2 linked regions of the Ovis aries genome follow. The protein of the gene in region 1 purifies or fractionates together with the protein of each later gene. This does not show direct contact. Links are inferred from orthologs where the notes say so. Each region holds a gene or a part of one and is shown in the gene's direction. Other genes may lie near its edges.

The links.
Region 2: the proteins of RAD23B (region 1) and PSMB7 fractionate together in Homo sapiens (co-fractionation; 3 studies listed by BioGRID, with this or other methods). This does not show direct contact. The link is inferred for Ovis aries from reciprocal best matches to the Homo sapiens genes RAD23B and PSMB7.

What each region holds. Positions count from the first base shown.
Region 1 is NC_056055.1:15,850,670-15,854,947, reverse strand, and holds the start of RAD23B (UV excision repair protein RAD23 homolog B), read left to right. Parts: upstream 1-1,271; 5' UTR 1,272-1,300; coding exon of another isoform or gene 1,301-1,474; 5' UTR 1,475-1,574; coding exon of another isoform or gene 1,575-1,626; coding exon 1,627-1,692; intron 1,693-4,278. Other genes in the region: uncharacterized protein LOC121818810, read right to left, coding at 890-1,197, 1,301-1,474, 1,575-1,628. UniProt on the Homo sapiens protein: Multiubiquitin chain receptor involved in modulation of proteasomal degradation. Binds to polyubiquitin chains.
Region 2 is NC_056056.1:11,429,901-11,433,714, forward strand, and holds part of PSMB7 (proteasome subunit beta type-7), read left to right. Parts: intron 1-1,725; coding exon 1,726-1,841; intron 1,842-3,814. UniProt on the Homo sapiens protein: Component of the 20S core proteasome complex involved in the proteolytic degradation of most intracellular proteins. This complex plays numerous essential roles within the cell by associating with different regulatory particles.

The sequences.
Region 1 (4,278 bases):
ATCAATGAAATTGAGTGCTATTACTATTCCCATTTTACTGATGAGAAACCGAGCGCACATTCATGGATTCCAAAAATATTTACTGTGCCTGCATTACACGCCAGGCATGTTTCTTCGTGCTAGGGGTGCATCACCCAACACAAAATCTCTGTGCAGCTTGCCTGTGATTTACTGAAGGGAGAAAGATGATAAACCCAATAAATATGTATTAATGGGACGACAGAGGATGAGATGGTTGGATGGCATCACCGACCCGATAGACTTGAGTTTGAGTAAGCTCCGGGAGTTGGTGATGGACAGGGAAGCCTGGCGTGCTGCAGTCCATGGGGTCGCAGAGAGTCGGACACGACTGAGCGACTGAACTGAAGTGCTATAGAAAACACAGCAGGGTAAGGGAACTAGGGAAGTTGCTGTTTTAAGTCGGGTATCCAGAGTCGATCTCCCTGAGAAGGCGACATCCGAGCAAAGATTGGAAGGAAGTGAGAAGTCGAGCCACCCAGGTATAGAGGAAAAGTGGACTCGAAGCGGAAACAGCAAGGGTGAAGGTAGACTCTCAGGTTGAGAGCATTTGCTGAACATCCACCAACAACGTCTAGTGCAAGCCGAGAGAATAAGATGTAAGAGGTAGGGGCTGTGTACCCAGCTCTAGGAACTTTGACTTTTACTCATGAGATGAGGTGCCATTGGACAGATCTGCCTGGGGAAGTGATATAACTTGATCTTATATTTAGGCGCAAGGTCCACTAACATCGTCTAGCGCTTAAGTCAGTGTTCTCAGGGTAAATGAATCCCAGCACAAGGCTTCAGCCACACAGCAAGCGCCCTGCAAGCGCTGGCCCTCTACGCTGGTTGCCCGCAACCCTTTCACTTAAACCTCGCCCCGACCTACCGCCCTCTAGTTCCCCAGTTCCAAGGCTCGCCAGCCACTCTGTCCTGTCTCCACGTAGCGCTTCCCCGGCTACGGATTGCGCAACTCAGGCAACCGGGCGGAGTCTGCACGTAGGCGGAGCGACAGCGGGCGGGAGAAGGCCCCAGAAACAGACGCGACGAGGAAGCCCGGAGCGCCCCCACGAGACGCCCACTGACTGCGCCTGCGCACGCGCCATCCCGGCGGCCGACATTCCAGAGCGGCAATCCGCCCCGCCCCAATTCCGGGGCGGAGTTCTTGCCTGCGCCTGCGCACAGCCTCGCCGCACCCTACGCCTGCGCGCTCCGCCGTCCCGGCCCCATCCCCCCCAGGTTTTTAGGGTGGTGGGGGGAGGGCGCGTCTCGGCGAGTCACGATGATGGCGGCCACCAGCCTGTGGTGAGCTAGCGGATTCTCTGCTGCTCTCGCAGAGCCCCTCGCGCTTCTTACAGACCCAGTGGCTGGTAACCGGGCGCGTGAGGAAGCACGGCGGCCCGAGCTCGCGAGGAAGGCCGCAGTCGCGGAGGCAGCGGCGCGGCCGGGAGCCAGGGCTGGGGGAGAGGCCGCTCTGCAGGGCGAATGTGACAAGCCCCCACCCCCACCGCCTTCCTCCCGAGTGCGCGAGGAGCGCGGGCGACCCCGGGGCCCCGCCAGGCCACAGACCCCGCCCAGCGGCCAGCACCCGGAGCAGGCCCGGCAGCCGAGCTGCGCGACGGCACCATGCTGGTCACCCTGAAGACCCTCCAGCAGCAGACCTTCAAGATCGACATCGACCCCGACGAGACGGTGAGTGCGGCGGGGCGCGCTGGGCCCGGCACGGAGCGGGGGCGGTCCGCGCGAGGGGCCGGGAGGGCCTGGGCTGGGGGTGGCGCGGCGGGACCGCGTGCGGGGCCCCGACCTCAGCTTCGAGCGCAGCCTGAGCGGGTAGAGCCGCGGTGCACCCGAGAGGGCATGGCGAGCGGGGGGTCTAGGGACCCGGGCGCTTATGAGGCCTGCGGGTTCCAGGCGCGGGTAGGGCCAGGGACCCGGCAGCGTGCGGCCCACTGGACCTTCAGGGTGGGCTGTGGGCTTTGTGGCAGGAGTGCGGGGAAGCAGTGGTCGGACACCGAAGCCCGAGTGGCATATGGCGTGAAGCACGCGTTAGCGGGGCACCGGAGGCCTCGGCCTGGGCGCTCTCGGTGGAGGGGCCAGAGGGGGAGGGGAGGTCAGGGTGGCCTGGGCGGTCGAGCTGCGCTCCGGGGTGTGGGTGCACAGGTTAGGGAGGGAGAGGTAGGCGTCGCCACTATCCCTGCGTGGACCTGGTTAGGCGCTGAGGTCTTGGAGGTGGTAACTGGAGATAATGAGCCTTAAATAAAATGGTATCAGGTTCCGTCAGCCGCAGAGTGTGAGTGCGAGGGGTGGTGAAAATGCCTTTTTTGCCCTCTTCCCCGCAGAATTGGTGACCATTTTATTTGCATAAATCTTGAATCGTTTCGCAGCAGTTCTCCCGCCACCCAGCCCACACCCATACGTAGATTGCACTTCGAGGCCTTTTTGGTGGTGAAGGTTGTTGCATTAGAGCCCTTCCAATAAATCCAGGCGCAAACTTAACTCCAGATTAGCAAGTTCCCTGTGTTAGAAGCCTTGAAATTGTAGGATCGGAAGTCTGCACCCAACCCCCAAATAATAGCCTTTCAGAGGAGAAATAAAGAAAATAAAAACTCTGACTCTCTTCTGTAAACTCTTGAACGACTCTTAACTTCACCTGTTAAATTCTCATGTCATCCTCTGTATTTGTGACTGCAAAAAGCCACTGTGTTGAAATCAGTACAACTTTATGCCAAGATCTAAAAATTGCCATTCAGTGTAAACTTACTTCTTGTGTTCTGGAAGTGTGAGTCTGTACACCTTTGAGGTTGTCACAGTGCTGTATTTACAGTAGCAACTTTCTGCCCGTCTGTATTTTTCAAAATAATTGATTCAGTTTTGGTGGATGTCGGGGATCTTCAGTTCAGTCGCTTAGTCGTTTCCTACTCTTTGCGACCCTGTGGACCGCAGCATGCCAGGCCTCCCTGTCCAGAGCTTACTTATTTAAACTCATGTCCGTTGAGTCGGTGATGCCATCCAACCATCTCATCCTCTGTTTTCCCCTTCTCCTCCTGCCTTCAATCTTTCCCAGCATCAGGGTCTTTTCCAGTGAGTCATTTCTTCACTTCAGGTGGCCAAGCATTGGAGTTTGAGCTTCAGCATCAGTCCATCCACTGATATTCAGGACTGATTTCCTTTAGGATGGACTGGTTGGATCTCCTTGCAGTCCAAGGGACTCTAAAGAATCTTCTCCAACACCACACTTCAAAAGCATCAATTCTTCTGGGCTCAGCTTTCTTTATAGTCCAACTCTCACATCCATACAGGACTACTTGGTGTTGGTTAATTAAATAAACCTGAGCTCCCATTTTCGGCTCTAACTTAATTTGCTATGTACCTGTTTTACAAAGATGTGAAGATTAAATAGTATTTAATTGGTGGTCAGTAAATGGAATCCATTATTAATCAATGGGTACCTTTGAGTGAGGAAGTTTTCTACATCTTGAATTTTCATTTTAAAAATGTAGTTCCCAAGCTTTTTGAAATTGTGGCAGAAAATGGTTTTAGTTCAAGGCACTTAATTATATGTGTAAATATGCTACATGATAAATTCTTAAAAGGTGCAAGAGATACCAAGCTTCAATGAGAAATTCAGTGCCCTCAAAATTGACAACACCTGTGGATTGCTATTACTGAATAGTACTGCTTATTTTGTACTTATAAGTTAAAGGATGGAAGTGAAAATGCAGCTGTGTAATGTTTTCAGCCAAAATTTTCCATAAAATAGCTATTGACTTTAGTTTTTTGTAATGTTGGTGCTGCAGGAACTTAACCAACTGGTATTCACAATTAGTTCCAGAATTATTGAAACCTGAAGGTTTGGGGTTTGTGTGTGTGTGTGTTTTATATTTCTGGGTTTATTGAAGATATGCAGTGACTTTCTACAGCTCCACTGAAATATTTATGTTCTACTAGATTTGTGTTGCTCTTTAGGCATTTTACGCATTCATTATCTTAGAGCCAGTATTGTGTTTGTATAGATAATTAGCTATGTTACTATTTGTGTTTGTATAGATAATTAGCTATGTTGCTATTTTCCAGTTTATTTATATGAATTATAAACATATACTTCTGGAGGTAGATTTTCAGAAAGCTTACAGAGTTGCTGCTTCAGTTTTTTGTTGCTGTTTGTCCAAGTATAATTGTGCTGCTGTTTATATAAATGTAAAACCTAACATTGTTAGTCTGGGGCAAGAAATGAAAACATTTAATCAGGATATTCTGGAACATTTACTTTAAAATGAC
Region 2 (3,814 bases), on another chromosome or scaffold:
ATAAATTCCTAGAAGTGGAATTGCTGGGTCAAAGATAGGAGCATTTAACGTTTTAATACATATTGCCAGGATTGTAGCCGAGAAAGATTGTTCTAAGCTGTCCTACCATCAGTTGTGTATGAAACTCATGGCCTGATCTTTAATGATTGCGTAGTATTCTGCTGTATAGCTAGGTGTATTAGTTTAGGTAATTCTGTTTCCACTTTTCTAGCATCATAAACAGTTACTGCAGTAAATATTCTTATGAATTCATTTCTGCATATTTATCCTTTTATATTTTTAGAATTAGATTCCTGGAAATAGAATTTCTGGATCAATTTTTAAGGATTTCATTGACTTGCCAAAATAGCTTAGACTCTTTTAAAGGCATCAAGCAGATTATGTTTTAGCTTGGAAGGAAACTAGCTGGTTATTGTTGACTTTAACTGAACAGTCTATTTGGCAGGAGATATATATATATATATATATATATATATATATAGTGGATCAAGCACTGGGCTAGGGTGGGAGTGGTGGGTCTGGTGATTCTCTGGCTTCTCACCCCAGAGTTCCAAGATCTACTCTTGAACCTGTTGCCAGCTCATGTGGCTTAGGACCAATTTCTTCCCCTGTCTGGGCCTCTCTTCCCTCTTGAGACTGCTTCTAAAATCTTTCCCTGCTCTTTATTTTTTCACTTATAAATGGAAGATTTGAAGTAATGAATTGGTAATCAAGGGATGCAGGAAGTATTGGACTTGACCTAGAGCACTTCCTGATAGGTAACTGTCTCAGGCAGTCTAAAATTAGGACTTTGGTTTTTGTGTTAATTTATTTGTATCAATTTTAATGATTGTATCATCAGGCAAATTCAACATGTTTTAGTTTCATTTTTCTTCCCAAAGAGCCAAAGGCTTACACTGGAGAACTTTAAAGCCAGCATGTTTATCCAGTATAGCAGTTCTAATGGTAAAAAAAATTGATCCATATATAGGGAAAGAAATCTGTAGAAGTGTAAAACCAACCAAGTAGAGGGTCCAAAGGAGCAAATATGTGCAGAATTAAACAGATGGGGTCAGGTGGAAAATGTCTCTCCCATGTTCCTGAGAGAGATGGCTTTAAACTGTGGACAGTAGCAATGGGTTTATAAACTGTCATGGAGTTATTTCATGGTTCACTTCCCTGCATAATGAAGTACTTTTTTCTTTTATTCAGTATGAGCTCTTATCTGCCATAATTTTGTGGATTTATTCAAGGGAAAGGTATTTTGACAAAAGTGATTTTCCTGTGGTGAGGTTGATAATTTGAACAGTTCTAGTTTAACGACATTTCACCATTGACTTGGAAGGGACCTTATTTTCGAATCACAGAGAGGTCTGATGGGAGGGGTATTCATGATCTTCGGAGTAAGCCACGCTTGGCTCTGAGACTTTCTAATGACTTTGGGTTGGTTTTTCCTTCTCTACAATAAGAACTATAGTGTCTTCTTTTGAAGGGAGTTGTGAGGCAGAGATGATGTAAGGCACATGGGTGCTTCATACAATTTACAGTTTTTTTTGACTGATAGATGTTCAAATATGTTTGCTCCATTCCTTATTTTTTTCCCCATCAGAACAGTAGCTATTTAATGAAGCAGTAGTAGTGAAAGAAAAACTTTTTGTTGTCTGACTTCTCGTGCAACTTTTGAGTAAGTTATAGTGATGCAATGTAGACTCATTTTTTTTTTCTTATGCATGCTCTGATCACCAGGTATCAAGGTTACATTGGTGCAGCCCTAGTTTTGGGGGGAGTAGATGTTACTGGACCTCACCTCTACAGCATCTATCCTCATGGATCAACTGATAAGTTGCCTTATGTCACCATGGGTGAGTGTAATGTTTCCCTGATGTTTCAGAATCCTCTTATTTACCAAAGTAGTCTCTAAAAGAGCTGGTTTATTTCCTGATAGAGGAGGCAGCACAATGTGCTTTGATTCCTTCTACAAATATCTGTTGATTTCCTTCTGGGGATTAGGCCTGTTTTGTCTGCTTGGGATATAGCAGTGAACAAAATTTAGACTTAAGTGTCTTGCCTACAAGGAGTTTATATTTTAATGGGAGTGGACAGACAATAACAACAGCTTTATGTTAGAAAGTGATAAATACTAGGAGAAAAAAACATAATGTAAGTGATATTATACCACAATTATGCAAGATACTACCTTTGGGGGAAACTGAGTTAACAGTGTACGAAAACTTGGTTTATTATTTCTTACATCTGCCTCTGAATTGACAATTATCTCAAAACAGAAAGTTAAAAGAAAATTAATGCAGTGTAAGGGGACTTGAGAATGTTGGGGTGGAAGCCAGATAATACTGTTAAACAGGAAGGTTACAGTAGGTTCGTGAAGAAGGTGAGGTTTGAGTGAAAGGGGCTCCCAGGCAGAAGGAAGACTGGAGGCCTGCCTTGGGGAACAGGCCTGGTACGTGCAGAGAGTTTTTAAGTGACAGAGTCTCTGTTTGCCGTTTAGTCGCTGAGGGATCCTGGACATTTAAGGTTCCTCTCTCAGCCTTGATTTCCTCACTCTGAAATGGTGTCAGTAATGCCCACCATGCATGCAGGGTATGATGATTAAAAATGATGTATGTAAACCATCTGACCCAATGCCTGTTCTGTAAATAGTAGCTACACTTTTTATGTCAGCTTTGTACATTTGTATTTTAGCTATAAACGCTAGATGAATATTTTTTTTTAATAACTAAAAAAAAAAGTGATAAAATTACATTAGAAGAGTTGGGATTTTTGAATTTAACTCTCATGCTCAATTTCTGAGTGAAATTTTTGCATATATCCAGAAATTTGAACAGGCCATGTGTAACCAGCGTTTTTCTAGATGTTGTTTAACTTTCACATTTTTTGCCTTGGTATCTTGGCTCTGCAGAGCCAGGGATAACTGCTGCCTTGAATAGTCTGAAAATTGTTAGTGTGAGACTTTGCTGTTTCATTATGTTTAATACTCAAGCCTCTTATGAGGTTTGTATATAACAGATGTTCCCTGTTTGTGAGAAGAATGATTTGCCCCCAGATACCATATGGAATAATTATTTTAAAATGAAGATAGACTAATTTTAGAAATGTTTTGAATTCTTTGTTCCATTTTATTTGTTATCTCCATCGAGATACTGTTTTTATTTCTCCCCATCTGGTGCCTTTAAATGGTAGTAAAGGTGCAATAGTCTTTTCTATTAAGTAGTTTTATTTCTTCTTTTTTTAATTAAAAGACTTTTCACACTTGCAAGAAGGTAACAAGAATGTACAATGAATAGTCATATATACCCTTGACTCATTTTTGTCACCTAACATTTTACCACATTCTTGCTCGCTCTCTGGTGCATTTTTGCTGTGTGTGTGTGTGTGTGTGTGTGACCATTCGAGAGTAAATTGTGGACACTATAACCCTCTACCTCAAAATCCTTTAGAATGTTCCCTTACATCACCTTGATGACATCATCAAAATCAGAAAATTTAACATTGATACAAGGCCTTTTCATTTTTGCGATGGGAAAATTGAGTTGGTTTCTGTTGCTTTTGAATTGTAGTAATTTGTCTTATGAGCATCATCCCAAACTTAGGAAAGGTTGTTGGAAGTGAGTAAAGCAGATTTGTGTCTGCTCATTCCGTTCCTGCAAGTCCGCTTTGTGCCCCGTCCTGGCCAGCAGTGACCTGCTTCCCTCCAAGTCCAGCGTGCGTCCGTGGTGACGGCTCCACGCCCGGCTTAGAAATCGTTACTCTCCACAGTCTGGCTTTGCTTTCATAGGAGATTAAGAAGAGCAAGATACCAGTAACGTCCGATTTTAGA